Linked DNA regions of Kluyveromyces lactis. The protein of the gene in region 1 purifies or fractionates together with the protein of each later gene. This does not show direct contact. Links are inferred from orthologs where the notes say so. Each region holds a gene or a part of one and is shown in the gene's direction. Other genes may lie near its edges.

What was found. Proteins that work in one complex are often made in the same cells at the same time.
Region 2: the proteins of CIC1 (region 1) and NOP12 purify together in Saccharomyces cerevisiae (affinity purification with mass spectrometry, with the first as the bait; 3 studies listed by BioGRID). This does not show direct contact. The link is inferred for Kluyveromyces lactis from reciprocal best matches to the Saccharomyces cerevisiae genes CIC1 and NOP12.

Annotation. Positions count from the first base shown.
Region 1 is NC_006042.1:2,032,399-2,035,987, reverse strand, and holds CIC1 (Cic1p), read left to right. Parts: upstream 1-1,722; coding exon 1,723-2,853; downstream 2,854-3,589. Other genes in the region: ELF1 (Elf1p), read right to left, coding at 305-820; KLLA0_F21824g (transcription activator GCR1-like domain-containing protein), read left to right, coding at 3,439-3,589. UniProt on the Saccharomyces cerevisiae protein: An adapter protein that specifically links the 26S proteasome to its substrate CDC4 which is one of the substrate recognition subunits of the SCF E3 ubiquitin ligase complex. Required for turnover of cell cycle regulatory proteins CDC4 and GRR1.
Region 2 is NC_006042.1:734,101-737,600, reverse strand, and holds NOP12 (rRNA-processing protein NOP12), read left to right. Parts: upstream 1-1,323; coding exon 1,324-2,712; downstream 2,713-3,500. Other genes in the region: Rpd3L histone deacetylase complex subunit DEP1, read right to left, coding at 1-547; SYN8 (syntaxin), read left to right, coding at 3,066-3,500.

The DNA of each region.
Region 1 (3,589 bases):
AATAATGCCACATTACTGAGAAGTTCGATATACCAAAGATACTATTATTGATGTAGAATTGATATATAAATTCTTCTGCAGTACAAACTGAATACTATCAACCGATGGTTAAAGCCAAGGTGAGCGTTATATAAATTCTTATAGGAAACAGATAAGATCCAGCAATCTCTTTGAACGTAAATATCAGCTCCTTTATACCTGATTTTATTCGTTCTACTAGTATATCTCTGGGTAATATATAGATAGATAGATACAATTGTAAGATTAATATTGGTGTTCGATGTCTGTGTTTCTGTCGGTTCGACTACTCGTCATCACTGTCCATCCATGCTGCTCTTCCTCTTTTGTTAGATATTTTACCGTCATCGTCTGAGTCTGATTCTGGTTCTGAGTCTTTTCGTTCGGTCGCTCCTTTTCTTCCGTAATCCGCATCTTCGTCTTCTTCTTGTTCTTCTTCTTCTTCTTCGTCAGAATCTATTCCAACAGCTTTTCTACGGTTTGAAGAAGGCTCAGTATCAGAGTCACTCTCGTAGTCACTGTCACTGTTTTCATCTTCAGATTCGCTATGTTTCCCTTCGTTAACTTCCTCAACCGCATCAAACCAGTCACTATATACATCTACCGGTTGTGATAGACCATTAATGCGGGTTTGGAACGATTGTCCACAAATCTTACAATGAAGCGAGCCAATGTTATTCTTTTTGTCCATTGTTACGCTCACAGAGCGTTCGTGATTACAGAAGAGACAATTGAATGCCGTATCTAACCTCTGTACTATCTTCTTGGCTGGACCTCTGGATGACTTCTTTCTCTTACCCATGTCTAATGCTCTTCTTATTTGTCTTGTGAGAGCGTATGCTTACCCCTGCGGCTAGATTTGATTAATATATGCTAATATGCCTTTTGCAGTATAAATGAACGGGGACGATGACTATGTTTACGATATAATAATAATAATAATAATAATAGCAACTTAATAACTCATAAATCAGATTCGTGCGGCGTATTCTCTGTTAAGGTATCCTTTATATCGATCGTGAGTCCTGTTTGACAGCCGAAAAAACCTAACTCAAAAATAGTACTGTTCCGAAATAAACCAGAGAAAGAAACCCTAAAATACACAGTTTAAGCCCTTTTGTATTGTAACCCCATTCACTGAACGTAGCCCGTTGCTCATTAGTAACTTTTGCACAAACACGCACCGAGATTCAATATCAGATTCGGTTACTCTTTATTTCTTAAGTGTCAAATGTTATCAAATTTCAAGAAAAGTTTCAAATCATATATTACGGCCTTCGCTTTCAAAAAGCAATATTTACTAACTACGTGAACACAGTGGAGCTCCTGCGAAACAGAAAATTTTTATTTTTGACAATAGAGAGCTCATCTCATCATAGCTCATCTCATCTCATCTCGAAGTATGTTGCACACCTAACACGATTAATAAAGTAATGGTATGTAAAGTATTTAAGTACCTATTCTTATTTCTCAGCTCAAAGGATTGATTAGATATATACTGGATATTTCATAGTTGCCAGTACGAACTCGAGAAGTAAGCTTACCTAGGTGAACCAACAATTTGTTGATCTTTTTCTGAGACAGTGCGAATCAAGTAAGTTAAAAAACGCTTGGAAAGAATCCAGAATATAGAGGAAATAACTCCACTCATCCAGTCTAGTATATCTACAAGCACATTATAAGCAATATCAAAGTTTAGATAATATGGCAACTAAAACTAAGAAAAGCAAGGTTTCGACCAAAGCCACCAAGGCTACTAAGGGCAGTAAAGAGGAAGAAGTCATTCCAGTTAACAGAGTTAACAATGCTGTTATTAAATTGCAAGAATATTTGAAGGAAAATGGATCAAATGACAATCAGTTAATTGATGATTCTGAATTGGAGGCTCAGCTACAGTTGATCCTAGTCAACACTGAATCTTTTACTGGTTCTTTGAAAAACTTCAAACCAAAACTAATTACAGTTCCTCATTCTATCTTCAAGCCATGGAAGGAAGCTAGCACCACCATGGTTAAAGATTTCAAGACTCTTTTGATTCTAAAAGATTCTGATATCAATTCAGTGACATCAGAAGACTTGATCGATCTACTTCCAGAACATATTACTATTGATGCCATCATATCTGGTAAAGATTTGAAGACAAAATACAAGGCTTTTGAAAAGAGGCGTGCATTTGTACAGGATTTTTCTTTCATTCTAGCTGATGACTCGATAGTGACAGCTTTGCCCAAGCTATTAGGTGGTAAAGCATACAGTAAGTTGAATACCACTCCAATTGCCATTAACACAAGATCGGATAACAAGTTTAACAAGACAACTTTGGTAAATAGCATCAAGAGAATTTATGATACTAAAATCCCAGTCAAACTTCCAAGAGGTAACACGATGAATGTTCATCTAGGTTCATTGGAATGGTTCACCCCAGAACAATTGACTGAAAATATCATTTCTGTCGCTAAACAGTTCATCGAAAAGTACAATATCAGAACCATTCTTCTCAAATCTAACGAATCACCAGTCCTTCCATTATACGTTAATTTGGAAGTATTAGACAAATTGGTTGGGTCCAGACATGATGCTAAGACTTCCGTTCAAAATGTCATAGAAATTGATGGTGTCGAATTGCAACTATCACAATTTGAGAAATCTTTGTTAGAAATTGCAAATCCAGACGAACTAGACTCCTTGTTTGCTACGCAAATTAAGCAAGCCAAAAGAAACTTGGAAGAGGTCGAGGCAGAAGAAGAGCAAGAAGAACAAAAGAAAGAGCAAACGAAAGAACAAAAATCCAGCGCTAAAAGACAAAAGACAAAGAATAAAAACGTAAAAAATTAGAGGTACAGGAGTATCGCGTTTTTTTTCATTCCTCTTTCTTAATTTCTATCCTTCACAAATATCGTCTTAAAACTTACCCATTTAGCATAGATTTAACGGCTGTCACCGCTCCTACAATGATAGTTTTCCCTACAAAATGTATTTAATCTGTACTCAAATTTTCCAGATAGCATCGATACTTTGCAATTCATAAAAGAATAACAGTAGTTAAATTCAGTGCGTTTTCGAACCAGCAGGAAAACGTTATTCCTAGTATTGTTTGGATGGTGCAAACCCATCGCCGCTCGAACAACTTTTCTGATGTGCCACATTTAGGTTTGCTGGTTTTTCTGTGTGGACTGGTGCGTCCATGCAGTCAGTGAAGGAAAAGGAAAAACGAAAAATAAAAGTGTCACAAAAAGATTTAATTACTATATTAAACATATGTCAAATATTATATAAACCACAGATTTCACAAACTTTCACATCATCACCTCTGTTATTCGTGCTTATTCGTAGTTTAGTATATACACTATTATTTACATCTGAATCAATTAGTATTTTCAAGTTTTGATTGCATTGCGAAGACGCCGAGAATCAAATGAGATGCCACAGAATATTGAACGAATAATTCATACATTCCAAAGCAGAGTAGACACTTTACAAACTGATTGGAACGTTTTATGCGACGCAGTGTGTAATAGCAAGTGTCAAAGTGTCAATGGTCAAATTGCCCTGTTAAAATCTAAGTTAGATT
Region 2 (3,500 bases), about 1.3 Mb from region 1:
CTGTTTCGGCTGGTTTATCTTGCTGAACGATTGGTCCCTCATCTTTTGAAGGAGTAGCAAGTTTAGGGGCAGATTCTTGAATATAACTACCGACACCATTATTGATGTACTCTTGTTTTACAGTCTTCGAAAGATTATCATCATTTTGTTTACTTTTGTCATTACCGTTACTTTCAATCGAATTGGATGCCATTTCCGATAGTTTGACACGTGATTCGTCCTCTTCTAAATCCATCTTTTCGGTCTCAGCGTCTGATGAGATGTATATGTCCGATAGAGAGACTGAGTTTGGATGTTCTGGAGAAGTGACCTTAGATAATCCACTGGTACTGTTATCGTCGTATTCTAATGTACCAACCTTTGAGGGACTCCCTGATTTCGATTTCCTTGAATAACTATTTGCGTTAAAATTAACAGAATCAGAATCCGAAGCAATCTTCTCTAAAACTTCTTTGGTAAGTTTCGTAGTGGGGGCAGATCTGGTATTATGATCGTCAATCTCACTCGCAGCCTCTACACTGTTATTTTTGTTTCTCTCTGGCTCCATTTGAATGATTCAAAGATAGTACCGTTTGAATTCAAAAAGAAAGAAATCCCAACGCATATAACCAATACAACCTTTGTATTACTCCAATCGGCTGATGGCAAAGAAAAAACACTTAGCTTATACTCCAATGCAGAAACACACAAAATTTAACCAGCAAACCGTTTAATATGCGCAGTATAAGTTAAGAATTGCTGCTTGAATAGATTGAAAGTTGATACCTGACACACTAAAACAAAGGGCTGCAAATATACCTTACTTCGCGTAATTCTTATTTTTACTAGCAAAACAGTTATCTCTCTCTATTCTTAGTAGTACACAATATTTTAAATCACGTTTGGATGAGATCTATGTATTGATTGCTGACTGGCCATAACTATATGTTCATGCTAAAATCAGACTGTATTTTTATTCTTAACTTATATTTCGGCATTTCAGCACTATTTACAGTTTGTACGTTTTTTAAGGAAAAGGAACATGATGTTACCCGGCCATATAGTACATTCCACGGTGTTAATCACGTGACTACGATACATTCGATTTGTCCATAGAGCGTACGCTTTTCTTCCGCATTTCTTTTTGGTGGTAAATTCATGATTTCTGCTGGCTTTTCTAGGAAGTGCAGGTTTTTCACTTTCGATAATTCAACAGACAAATGGATAAAGCTCATCGCATCGAAGAGACTTGGACAGCCACCAGCAGGTTTAGTGCAGAGGAATAACGTTTGTGTTGGTGAACCAGGGTCTTTCAAACATAACAAACCAAAATTATATTACGGGATGTCCGCATTGAACAATTTATTTGGAAATTCCAAATCAGACGCGGCAGGTACATCATCGATTGCAGCGTTATTCTCCAAACCTAATCATGTCGATGAGCGTAAAGTAAAGTCGAAAGCTAGGACTGTGCTAACTGAGCCTGAACAGGATAAGGATGAACAAGAAGAAGAGAATGTCCAGGAAAGTGCTTCTACTGTCTCCGAAGGAGTAGAGAAAGAACAGGAAGAACAGGAAGAACAGCCGAAGAAGAAAAAGAAGAAGACCAAGAAGAATGATGAAGAGAATGATAATTTGGAAGTTCAATATTATTCTAAGGTATTAGGTGATTCTAAATCTAAAGATGAACCTAAGGATGAACCTAAGGACGACTCTTCCGATAGTGATAATGAAGATGAAGCAACTGCAGTCGATAAGTCTTCGATTACCGGCACGGAATCTGAATCTGCTAAAGTTATCAATTTGAAAGAAAAGGAACTAGCCAAGGCTGAGAGAACAATTTTTATTGGGAATGTACCAAATGAGGTTATCACATCAAAGAAAGTTTACAAAGAATTTAAGAAACTTCTCTCCAAGGATCCCCGTAGCGAGAATGATGACCACGATGACGGAGAAGAAGACGAAGAAGAAGAAGAAAGTAAGACAAAAGATGTTAAGTTTAATGTGGAAAGTATCAGATTCAGATCCATTGCATTCGAAGAAGCATTGCCAAGAAAAGTTGCATTTGTTCATCAAAAGCTTCACAAATCTAGAGATTCGATCAACGCATATGCCGTATATGGGAGCTCCAATCCGGTCAAGATTATGTGCCAATATCTGAACGGTAAAGTGTTCAACGACCATCATTTGAGAGTGGATTCGGTTACACACCCCTCCCCACATGATAAGAGAAGATCAGTCTTCGTGGGTAATTTGGATTTTGAAGAAGTGGAAGAAAGTCTCTGGAAGCACTTTGAACCTTGTGGTGACATTGAATATGTTCGTATTATTCGTGATTCAAAGACGAACATGGGTAAAGGTTTCGCATACGTTCAATTTAAGGACTTCCAATCAGTGAGTAAAGCGTTACTACTACATGAAAAGAAGATCCATGAAGGTAAGAAGGCCAGAAAGCTAAGAATTTCTAGATGCAAGAATATGAGAAAGGCCCAAGGAAACCAATCTTCCCTACAAAATAATAAATTAAACGACCAACAAAGGACAAAACTGGGAAGAGCTAAGAAGGTGTTAGGTAAGGCTGATAGGGCTAAGCTAGGTGAAGAGTTGACAATTGAGGGTTTAAGAGCTTCAAAGGGAGAAACCACCCCTGTACTAAAAAGAACAAAGAACAGATCAAAGACAGGAAGAGTTACTAAGCGTTCGATAGCTTTTAAGAAACAAAATGCTCAATAATGGAGCACAACCTTAACAATTATAGTATAGTGTACATATGGATAAATAATCCAACTTTTCAATAAGACAGACACTTGTTGTATCTCCGATTTGGCTTGCAATTGGTCTTGGTGCTTCAACTGGGGAATTACTGTCAATTATTGTTCCGGGTAATCTCTTTTGTCCTATTAATTCTTTGACTATTCGATATTTTATGCTATATACCGGAGAACCTTAAATGTGATTCGTTGGCATAAGAGACAGCTCGTGTTAAAAATAAGTGGCATTTCGTAACCTAACGCAGCCAACACCTATGCGAAGCTTAATGTTAGGCGTATTATCTACAGAGAAAGAGGGACGATAGATATAAAAAAATGAATGGTTTGAAGGTCGAATATGAAATCGATAAATTAATAGAGATTGTGGATGAGAGAGACAGGTTAATGGATGTCCTTCACATGCAACCATCTAAAAATGATAACATAAAACTTAAGAAACATATAAACCATACACTTGATTTGCTCAAAGATTATGAAGATGATGTACCCTTTTCTGAAGATGATAGATTTAATCATCAGATTAAAACTTATAATGATATCATTGAAGGCTTGCCAGAAACAGTCATTGACAAGGAACTCTATAGATTCAAAAGAAAGCCTAATCTGAGAGAAACAAAGAAGGTACGGTTTAAAGACGGATTAGTTGAAGAGCATAAAGAACCCGAACAGAAGTTTAAACCATATAAAGATGATGAGTCTTCATCTACAGTTGTAGATGATTTATTGGAGGTCAAGAGAAAGGAATTATTT